Neodiprion lecontei: one gene and its partner. The protein of the gene in region 1 interacts with the protein of each later gene in a pairwise test. Links are inferred from orthologs where the notes say so. Each region holds a gene or a part of one and is shown on either strand. Other genes may lie near its edges. The genes, in order: LIM and senescent cell antigen-like-containing domain protein 1 and ras suppressor protein 1.

Region 1 (6,590 bases):
GAGCACTGAACAGTGCTCGCAGTGTATATCGAAACATACCCCTGGTCCCTTCATTTTTCAACACTGATCTCTTTTTCAATCATTTTCATTTGACCCAGAGGTAAGGAAATGTCATGAATTCTACGAACTCCCAATAGTTTCGTATAATCCATGCTCTTTCTTCATTTACGCATTAAATGAAAATGTATTGGGGTGTTCTTATTCAGAATAGTGTATAGAATGGGGTGGTTAATCCCTTTCTTGTGTTTGAGATACGTGGACTTCGATATTTGGAGATCAACGTCGAAATCGACCAGGATACCCTGTTTCTCATTTTCTCGTTAAATGACTCGTAGATCACAGCATTGAAGTTTACTAAAAACAGCCAGTCAGCTACGAATAGTCTTCTAAAGCAACTAAAAGGGCACAACTAGTGCGAGGGTAATGGCAGTGCCCTACACTTACCAATTCGCTTATGGGACTTACCCGAGCTCATGAACGTCCGTTAAACCGGACGTTCTTGAATTCGAGGATTACAATGTTATTTGGGTCGGTAACTGTAAGAACTTTCTGTACTTAAGTATTCCCTTAGCATCCCTCGCCTAGTTGCTTCGAGCTATGCTCCAGTTCAAAATACTCCATTCAGCTGACTGTCCTTAGCAGTCTTCAGCAACAATCTTCAGTCAACGATTACGGTGAAACAAATTGAAACATGTGACTACGTATATATTTAAAATGATTAACTATATTTCTCACCCCGTGGTGACATATATGTTATAGTTGCGGCAGCAAATTTTTACTTATTAATTTATTTGAATTTCAGGTTACAAATTAACGATATGATACAAAAATAATAATATCATTATAGTAAATAACAATATAATTTGAGAAATATTTAGAAATCACTTTGCCGAGGTTCATCGTGCTATAATTTGAATCAGAAATTATACGACAAACGGCAAAAGTCTTCGTAATCCGGATCTTTTTCCACTTAATCGTAACCTTTTCCATTTTGAGCAGCTATTACTTTGTTCAGCAGATTTGTACAGTTCATATTACTTGGTCAGATGGCGAGCGCGGGCATGTGTCGAATTTCAAAAATAGTTAAACTGCTTCCATGTGTATGTGCCGCGTGATTACATACACCTTTAAAACCAGCACTAAGCGCTAGGGGGTAAGGTTAGCTGTTCTTCGATTCGTTTCAGCATACACCGCTGCTGTACATACCTATACTATAACTGCATTATACGAAGAAAATCGGTGTCGTAAGTTGTTGGGAGTCGTGAAGTAAAGTACGAAATCACGAAATCTCGCCACCACATCCGCCCACAGATTATCCATACATACATATACATCTTTAAAAGGATAGAGTTAATTCGCCGTCGTCTCATTGGCTGAATGGGTAGAACGGAAAATAATTATTTTTACTGAATTGGGCGTGTAAGCTTCTCCAGTCTTCGCTAATGACAACGAATTAATCGTTACTATAAGTTGTCTGTTTGTATACTATCTACTAGGTAAGTAACCCAATATCTATATACCGCTTATAGGTATAACCTGTAGTGTACAAACATATTTGTAAGCCAGATATTTTTCGTGGATTACGTAGTTTCACAAATATTTCTTTGAATACGCAAATCGCGATTGTTGCTAGATGATAAGAATGGCAGTGTACGTTTATGTAAAACGACTGGGTGGGACGCGTACCGCAGTGTATAATACGTATAATGTGAGATCATGTGCGAGAAGTAAAAATCGTCTGAGCAGTTTTGTGTATCCGTGAATCCCGTTCTAATTGCAGAAACAACGAAGAGGCGAATATAACGAGTGTCAGGGTGCTGGAGCCAAATTCTCCAGTCCCACCTCAGTTTCTAATCCATATATTATCTTCTTCTTTCAAGTATCACACCAAACAAATTATGCCAGGGTAAGCAATGCTGTGTTGCCTATTTTTAGCATTGACTTCATCCAATTTCATAGACTTAACATACACTAAACCTTATCACATCCAGTTTAATTACATATATATCGCTTAAATCAATTTAAAAAATGAATTACACATCAAGTGAACACGCCTTATTCACATTTTGTAGTAACTTTTCATAAATCCCTAATAAAATTGCTTCATGACATGTTGAATCCACCCAAATGTTTCGTAACATTTTTTACTCCGATATCTCGGCATGGAATTTATGTATTATTCTGTACACTCCCATTCATTGTTGTATTAATAAAATTGTATGAACTTATTAATCTGTGCTACTTGAACATTTCAGTACACGATAGCTCCAGATATTAATTGATATATTTACATTTGCCGCGTCAGATGCAGTTCTGATTCATGTTACCAAAGTACCGATCCATTGATCCAGCTTGATCATGAATCCAAGTGGTCGTTAAAATCCGAAGTTCTCATAACAAATGAATATATGTCAATGGAATATTTAACCGTTTGTTAATCATTTCGTAACCTTGGATAGCTTACAAAGTCTCATTTACTCCAGAGAAACTTATTTCATCGAAGGTTAATGGTATTTTATATTCAGAAGTATTATTTGACATTGTTCATGTGTTTTAAACTATGCGCATTTCATCACGATTGGGTATTCATATTGTTTTTATAATAACATGTCAACTGTACAAACATATTTTAGAATTAAACAGAAACAACTTGATTTTTTAACCTTCGATACGCTTTACAATTTTACTGTTTGACGCCGAATATACTTTTCTGCTGTGTGATGTAACTCAATTCTATTGCATTACTCACATGATGATTATATTGAAGCCCGTTAGTCAGCTGTGCTTAATCAGCATTAATTATTACACCGAGTGGCAAGTAGGTGTATAACTAAAACAGATTCTATTTGAGGAATAATATTTGGCACCTGTATTAGAAAAGCTGACGATCCACTTCTTATCTACCCTGAAGTTTTATCTATTATATCAAACAGAGACGACTACGAGATAACATATCAATCCATACATACCCGAACAACTGAATCGTTCTTTGGTTAAGTAAAAAGAATGGTGTTTAATAAGGATGGAAAAGCTTGAATGCTAAATTGTGGTTTGATTAAAGTTTTTTTATTGTCAATTACGAAGTTTCGATGTGCTACATTGAATTTTTAAGACTTCAGAATGGCCCGAAACAGTGATACTCTTCCATTTCCTACGTCTATATCAATACAGTCATTAGATCACAGCAAATTATATAATAGGCGTGCACAATCCCGCGAAAATTTAGTTGAGAAAGAAATTACCAATGACTCGAACAGCAATCAATCTACTTTTGTATATGACTACGAAGAATTGGCTGAATGGAAGGGTTTTGATAAACCTCCTAAACTCCCGCCAAGGAATTTTAAAAATGCTTACTGTGACACTAATGACCTTAAAAAACAAACAACAAACAAGACAGGGTATATAGAAAAAGAATTATACTCATTAACTATTCTATTAACTGATTTTAATCGTCAACTTCATGCAATCACTGAATATTCTGTAACCAAATTCAGTGACATCATTGGTCCATTAAACTTTGATACAGAATGATGTTATATGTCCAAGACAGCAAATTTCTCTCCATCATTAATATCATTCATTTTATTACAGAGTCACAGGGATGTCTCTGGATGACATGTTCTGCTCCCGCTGTCGCGAGGGATTCGAGCCGCACGAGAAGATTGTCAATTCTCGCGGAGAATTGTGGCATCCGCAATGTTTTGTGTGAGTAACACTTTGGAATGGAATTGAAACTATAAAACCACCGGAATGTTTATCAATGGTTGAAGTTTTAGTCTCCAGCAAAGTTATGATAGAATTATTTAAATTGAGAATTTTTCCAAACGATCAATTCACATATAATGATCACAAACTATTTTGATTCTTGATATAATATATACAGATTTTCCTTTTCACAGTTGTGCACAGTGCTTTCGCCCTTTTCCCGAGGGTATTTTCTATGAGTTTGAAGGAAGAAAGTATTGCGAACATGATTTTCATGTTCTATTCGCCCCTTGCTGTGGCAAGTGTGGTAAGTTGTATACATAAGATTCATTATAAGGTTTTGTTATATGTCAGATATTTTCCGTTAGTTCGGCCACTTGTTCCTGGATCGTCAAGTCAAGAGTGATACGACTAACATTATTGAAAACAGTTCCTTGAGTTTCGTTCAGATAAACATTCAACTAGATCCATTCTAGAGGCAAATTCAATTTCAGGTGAATTTGTCATTGGAAGAGTAATCAAAGCCATGAATGCTAACTGGCATCCTGGCTGCTTCCGTTGTGAGGAGTGTAGCGGTGAACTAGCAGAGACTGGTTTCATGAAATGCCAAGGAAGAGCATTGTGTCATACCTGTAACGCTCGAATAAAAGCTGGGGCTCTTGGAAAGCATATCTGCCATCAATGCCAGTAAGTATTTATTTTTTAGAATTTTCTTGTTATTCAGATAGTTTAAAAATAACTAGAATATGTATATTGTAGTATAATTTTCTACTAATCATTGACTAAATAATATTTCTATCTATAGTGGAATAATCGACGACAAACCGCTGCGTTTCCGTGGTGAAGTATATCATCCCTACCATTTCAACTGCACGGCTTGCGGGATTGAGTTGAATGCTGATGCCAGAGAAGTTAGGTCCAGGCCTGGATTTGCGGCTAATGAGATGGTATTTTGGCATTGAATTTTTTTCTTTTCATACGTAAGCCACAGCTGAACAGCTGTGTTTCATATCGATACTCGTATGTTGTCACTACCCTATATTGACTGACAACAAAATAAAGCCCTTCAAAGTCGGCCTGGCGCATGTCTCATTTGTTTTCATATTTTTTACATCAATTATAACATTAGAGCTATCTGCTGAGATAAATGCCTACTTTTAATTTCCTGATTTAAAGATGCTACAACATTAACATACCTGCTTGATATAAATGCATACATCATGTATTTTACAGAATGAACTATATTGTCTGAGATGTCACGACAAAATGGGAATACCGATCTGCGGAGCTTGCCGGCGTCCGATAGAAGAAAGAGTTGTCACTGCCTTGGGAAAACATTGGCACGTGGAACACTTTGTTTGTGCAAAGTGCGAGAAGCCATTCTTAGGTCATCGTCACTACGAGAAAAAGGGCCTTGCTTACTGTGAGACTCATTATCACCAGCTCTTTGGAAACCTATGTTTTGTTTGCAACCAAGTAATTGCTGGAGATGGTAAGTTTTTATTGTTTTTTTACAACTTGGTAAAGATTTCGAATATCATACAGTGGTCACTTTGATTCTTTGATTACTCCTAAGTCGTTTCCTTATTTATTGACCCAATCTTTCTTTGATTGGATTACTTCAGCATGAGTGCCTATCGTTTATAACATTTAGTAGATAGCACCTTGTTCTAATTTCCAGTAAAATTTTCAACTAGTCTGCAGTGGATACTTTCCAATAATTACCAGCAATTAAATTTTTGCCAATCAAATACTAGAAAAGTATTAGACAATTGAATTTCACTTACAATTCGTTGCAAAATAGTAGAATAATTACTATCAAACTTTGTCTTCTTGCAAATTAGTGAAAGCACTTTTTCTTATTGCAAATTACGAGAGTCTAGTACTATATTATTATACCTAAATAACAAATTGAACCATAACTTTACGAGGAGTATTATTCGAATAAATGTCACAATAATTTATATTTATGTTAATCTTCTGATTAGTAAATTGCTGCAGTTTACTTTCATCATAGTTTAATAAAATTCGCAGCAACAGAATTACATTTATAATTCGACAAGCCTCATATGTTTATAATTAAAATTAAGTTGTAAGTTTTTTACAAATCATTCTTTATTCCATTTTATTTGCAGTTTTTACGGCATTAAACAAAGCATGGTGCGTACATCATTTTGCTTGCGCATTTTGTGACCAAAAGATGAACCAAAAGACAAAATTCTTCGAATTTGACTTAAAACCCGCTTGCAAGAAATGCTACGAGAAATTTCCCCAGGAATTGAAAAGGCGTATGCGTCGTATGTACGATTTAAATCCAAAAAAAATACCTGCCTAAACAAATAATAAAATACTTTTACCAGATGTGTTTAAAAAAAAGTACATGTATGTTTATATATTTATTGTGCTTAGCAATTGCCGTTTAAAATTACATTAGACAAAGATCATTCTTTGAAGAAGTAATCAAAGTAAAACGTAACATTGATTAAATTTGTCCCCAAGACTACAAAAATATTTTATATAACTGACTTTATTTTTAAGTAAATATTTATCACGTAATGGAAAAATATTACTTGGCCAACTAACGCGCATCTTCTAATTATTCGATATGTACTGTTCGCATTCTGATATTCGGATTTTTCCAAGTATACCTAGAGGATGAACAACCATTTCGATCTAATATTGAAGCATTCTCAAATGTTCGTGCCTTACACCTAGCTTAGGAATAGAAAAAGTATCGCTTATCATAATTCGCAGTAATTATCTTACATTTGACTGACGAGTTATTAATGCATCATAATATACTACACAAATAATTATACAAACAGAAATTTTACACGTATACAGTATCCACACAATATACATTATAATGCTGATCTGTGAAT
Region 2 (5,413 bases), on another chromosome or scaffold:
TGTTATACATTCTCTGTATTTAAATCTATACCGTGTATATTACTGTTGGTATGGTACTCAAATTGGCTCACGTGTGTCAGTGCGTGTGTAAAATAATGTATGTATGTTTTAACTTCGAACGTGTGTGATAGTATCAGTTTCCGTTCTTCAGTCTTAAGTAAAAATTTGCAAGTTAGATACGATATATTATCATGTTATAGAAATTCATAAAATTGTATTGACATTGTGAACGGTCACGATTGGCAATGTAACACGTCGTTTGGTAATAATAACTACTGGCAACGAACTAAAAAAGTGTATCAGCTATATAAATGCTAGTTATTATGAAATCTAGATACTGAATAGGAGCTTATAGATTCCATCGCATAAATTGAGTTCTGTATATTTCTTGAGTTTCACGCATTTACTGTATCGACATACACATATTTCAAAAACGATAATTAGTCTGGTGATTCATGCAGCTCATTATTTTTGCTAATAATGATAAACTTAAATTAGGTATTAATGTGACAATTTTGAAATATCGATACCAGTGTTACTGCTAGAAAATAATAATTTATTAAATTGTAGGTAATAAATAATCATAGTTAATATCGAATGTTTGAAATGATTTTTCTCATGTGTATATTACTTCAATTTTTTCTCGTCACTTAATGCCAAGGTCGGAGTCACACTATGTGAAATATTCGTAACATAAATGCATCAAGCACAGTAAACCCTGTATTTTTTTTTACCTGTTATTTACCTTTCCTAAATTCGTCGCACCAATATATTTATTTCTGGCGTGGACTCGAAGAAATTATCCAGTTTTTCCGACAACTCCAATAATTGTAACACAACTTAAGCAACCCTTGGTTTCAAACATCTCCAGAGTTGTATAAAAGAAATGCAGGCGTTACTGTAGCAACTATAACTATTTTAATGGTTTGGGTTACTTTAAGAACGTCACGCAGAAGAATTGATAAGTTTTTTTTTTTTCTTTTTTTACAAGAAGTTACGTTTGACTTGTGAAACCAATGTTAAGCGTTGTGATATTTTACATGATTGTAATAATTAATATTACGGTGTTGTTATTGTACTGTAATATGAGTTAACTCTGGCCCAAAAATTTTTCAACAAATGTTTGTTTATTAATTTTTAGATTAATTTCTATAATTTACTGTTGTTGACACTTCATGTATCTAATTATGCGGAAGGAGAAGAACTTCCATGTGCTGATAATAAGATAACATGCTGAAAACCAGAAATCCGATTTAATTAAAAAATTTGAATGACTTTATTACTCTCTTATGGTTACCGAGTAATACGCTACGGTAAAGTACGATACTATACTTGCAGGAACACAAAAAAAATTGCCCCCATTTTTCATAATGTTATCGTATTACAATCGTCGAGGTATGAAATATATTCTTATACAAATTCACTGCAAAATGAGGGAAAAAGCTAACCGCAAATTTTACAACAGCAATCAATTAGCTGAAACAATTTCACAGAGACACTTAAATTATAACTACGCGTAGTCTGAAATATCGTGATCTAAAATGTGCAATAAAACTGTAAACAGTTAGAAAGGGTTTTAACGAGAGCTTGTACTGAAATTTGGTGGGTAAGGAAGAATATCCAAGAGGTTGACGGACAAACAGGTGCAATTTACAAAGATAAGCCCCACGCATCAATGAAACTAATATTCATTCGTCAGACGGAAAGAACATAAGTCAGCAATAATTTAGTTATTCTGATCCAAATTCGACGGGTAATTACAAACGTTGTTTCTGATGGTAACATAAATCGTACTCGTCTCTTAATTTGTTTCACGTCGTCACCGCGGTAAATTCTGTTTTATCGACTGCAGTAGCTCATGCACATGAGGCATGTGTATTAGGCATGTGTAAGTAAGTTTCTCTGATCTGAAAATACGTATGACCGTGTGTGCGCGCGCAATGAATCAGACTCCAGTATCGTGTATTCCGAATTCGAGGATGTCAAAGGCAAAGAAAGTAATCGATGAGGCCCGAGAAAACCAAAATCCTGAGCTGGATTTGGCTGATAAGGGCATTTCCACATTCGAGGAAATGCCCGGACTGCGTGAGTAAAATACGCTTGCACCCTTCACTTGATCATTGCCAAATTAGGCAACTTGTCAAGACTGGTTTTTTGCACCAACAAAACTACACACTGCCATTAGGGCTACTCATGGGCGTGGACAGCCCTGTACTATTTATACAAATACGTGCTGTTACTGTTGATCAGATTTCCTTATATTTATTTCCCAATTAAGTTCTGGATGCTCATTTAGGGAAAAAATGTAAACTTAAAAACTCATTAACCATATATCGCATATCATTCAACAACCTATGTTTATTGCGTAAAAATAGTCCTTTCAAATACAGCTGATCATAATTTTCAGATCATCTTTGTACTTGTTCAAACTATTTCTTGTTTGAACTCTTCATACAATGACTACTATATATTACAACATCGAAACCGAATTATCATTAATCTTATCGTGTCATTCTTCATAATTTTGCATGTATTTTGAATTGTATTTTTTCAGTGAATATGCTGCAGATAACCAGGCTGACGCTCAGTCACAATAAACTTCAAGGTACATATGTAGAGAAAATTCATGTATTGCCAACCTGTTCGATCCTACCGTATTATGCATGTCACAGCAAGTAATGGAATGATAATTTTTCAGTTGTTCCACCTGGTTTGGCAAATTTAATCAATTTGGAAATTTTGAACCTGTTCAATAATCACATCACTGAACTTCCAATTTCCTTATCACAAATGCCTAAGTTAAGAATCCTCAACGTTGGGTACGTAACTGCGCGGCGATAAAGACGATATTTCAAAATGTACATAGTTACATTGATAATTTTAACTAACGCTATTTTGATCTCGGTATATCCACTTCTGTTTATATTTTTTGTTTATATTGTACATGAATTCTAGTCTGTATGTTATTGAAAATAAAATCTGCAATGATTGTCTATGATGATAAGGACGATAACTTCAATGCAACATTTTTTGAACTTATAGCCTAGCTACTTATGTTGAATCAATTTCATTTTGTATCGCTGAATCAACACCAACTTGTATCTGTTACTTGATAAAAACCTTTATATTCTAAGAAAAAAACACAAACAGGTAATAGGCTTCTAATTCTAAATAGTATGTTATCCTATTTTTCAGAATGAATAGATTAGATTCCCTTCCACGAGGGTTTGGTGCCTTCCCAGTGCTCGAGGTCTTGGATCTCACATATAATAATTTGAGTGAAGAAAATTTACCTGGAAACTTTTTTATGATGGGTAATCAATTAATTTCATACATTACAATAATTAATTCATTATTGATTATATGCACAATGCATACCCTAATTCTACTTTGTTTCCTCCAGAGACCTTGAGAGCATTGTATCTTGCCGATAACGATTTTGAATACCTGCCCCCTGAGATTGGCCAGTTGAAAAATCTGCAAATTGTAATAATTCCATCATACTGTATGAAATGAGAATACTCATAAGCAACACTGATAAACTACGAAATATACTGAATAATAATTTATTTTACAGCTTGTGCTCAGGGAAAATGATCTGATTGAGCTACCTAAGGAAATTGGCGAACTTACCCGACTTCGAGAACTTCACATTCAAGGCAACCGACTAACAGTTTTACCACCAGAGATAGGTAAATTGATACTCTGTAGCTAATTGCGTACCATATCAGTATACTTGTATCGGTGAAATTCTTAACTACCTATAAATTTGAATTGCCTTACATACGCGGGTCGTCCCAAATGTATCCTATTGCTGTATAACTTGTATTGCTGAGCTCGTGAATGCTTTCTCTTTATTCATTTTTCCTAGCAGAATGTAGGTGACTAGCCCTGTGATAAGCTGTATGGTAACTTTAATAGTTTTAAACTTACTTCACAGGTAATTTAGATTTGGTGAGTAACAAAGCAGTGTTCAGAATGGAATTCAATCCTTGGGTTACCCCTATTGGAGATCAATTGCAAGTGGGAATTTCTCACGTGATTGATTATATTCGTTCGGAGACCTACAGATAGTAAGTGTAATTGGAAAATGAATAACAATTAATCAGTATACCCATCCATTATCGAATGTGTGATGGTTCTAGGCCCATTTTCAGACCTACAAGTTCCTGTAATAATAGGGAAATACGTTAAATTTTTCAAGTAAAATATCCAGCTAAACAATAGATGGTAATTATTATTTTATTTTTACAGCCTCTATAATCGTCACCTCAGTGCAAAAGGACCTCCGCCACCAATTGAGAATGATAAAAGCAAGAAAATCTCTCGTGCTCGCTAAATGAGATTAATGTGACAAAATCAACTTATATAATTACAGTTTTAATGCCAATGACTAATCGTTAATATATCTAAATTTATTAATTTGTACATTACCACAAATTGATCATCAGATATATCAGATCACGTGGTGCCTTATGCCAAGTCAACTGCCTTAAAATTCTGAATCGTTACTTGTATTAATATTTTTTTATTAATGTTATGCTTATATTTTTTATAACAAATTTAAAACTAAATTAAATATGTAGAATATTTCGGTGAGTCTATAATGTTTTAATACATTAACAAATGAAATTCACCATAGCCACGGGTATTAATTTTTTCCGTTAAGTTATTCTTGCTCATACAGGTTACAGTCGTAATTTATTTCTGTAATGTAATAATGCTAAGAAATCGAACTCTGACTGCGTTTACGATAAAAATTTTATCCAGCTTTGATGAGAATCTTAAATTGATGCGCAAAATGAATCTCCGCCAAGTTGTAACACTTCGTGCATTTTAATTACCTACTATTAATATGAAATGAATAAATATGATGGTGCAAATAATTTATTGATCTATAGTGGATATCTTTCACATTACACTTGTTGAGCCTCTAATTGGCACGCACAACAATTCACTCATCTATAAGTGTATGTCATTCTAAATTGTACTTTATGTATTAAACTACCTATTAAGAAAAAATGACTTGGAAAATTTTTATTATTTATGATTTAATGACGGGGTTTCAATAAACAATTTCACATCATAAAACGTACACGTTCAACTATTTTGCGTCAATAGCTTCAGTAGAAATGCAAAACCGTGTTTTCAGTTCGTACCGTTGACATGTTACAGTCGAGAATTGTAATATTTATGAAGCTTGTGTTAACAACTATGTTAGCAGTTTGGCTTCAATCAAGATGCAGAAAACTGCAACGAAATCATTTGTCGGTATAGAAAACAAGTACGTACAATACTTACCAGTTCTTTAGTTGAGCCATAGGTGCTGCAATGTAATTTTTGTATATGCTCAATCCTTACGTGTACGTAGAATGGCACGATTAAAACAGAAAACCCTGAAACTTGCGAGAGA

Evidence for each region.
Region 2: the proteins of LIM and senescent cell antigen-like-containing domain protein 1 (region 1) and ras suppressor protein 1 interact in a two-hybrid assay, tested with the Caenorhabditis elegans proteins (2 studies listed by BioGRID). The link is inferred for Neodiprion lecontei from reciprocal best matches to the Caenorhabditis elegans genes unc-97 and rsu-1.

What each region holds. Positions count from the first base shown.
Region 1 is NC_060263.1:9,168,524-9,175,113, forward strand, and holds LIM and senescent cell antigen-like-containing domain protein 1, read left to right. Parts: upstream 1-1,991; 5' UTR 1,992-3,120; coding exon 3,121-3,401; intron 3,402-3,594; coding exon 3,595-3,708; intron 3,709-3,902; coding exon 3,903-4,015; intron 4,016-4,202; coding exon 4,203-4,395; intron 4,396-4,513; coding exon 4,514-4,655; intron 4,656-4,941; coding exon 4,942-5,200; intron 5,201-5,843; coding exon 5,844-6,043; 3' UTR 6,044-6,075; downstream 6,076-6,590. UniProt on the Caenorhabditis elegans protein: Component of an integrin containing attachment complex, which is required for muscle development and maintenance. Probably function in adherens junction.
Region 2 is NC_060262.1:32,279,074-32,284,486, forward strand, and holds ras suppressor protein 1, read left to right. Parts: upstream 1-1,887; 5' UTR 1,888-1,919; coding exon 1,920-2,085; intron 2,086-2,554; coding exon 2,555-2,605; intron 2,606-2,698; coding exon 2,699-2,819; intron 2,820-3,195; coding exon 3,196-3,314; intron 3,315-3,403; coding exon 3,404-3,486; intron 3,487-3,577; coding exon 3,578-3,692; intron 3,693-3,940; coding exon 3,941-4,073; intron 4,074-4,254; coding exon 4,255-4,339; 3' UTR 4,340-4,886; downstream 4,887-5,413. Other genes in the region: uncharacterized protein LOC107224057, read left to right, coding at 5,373-5,413.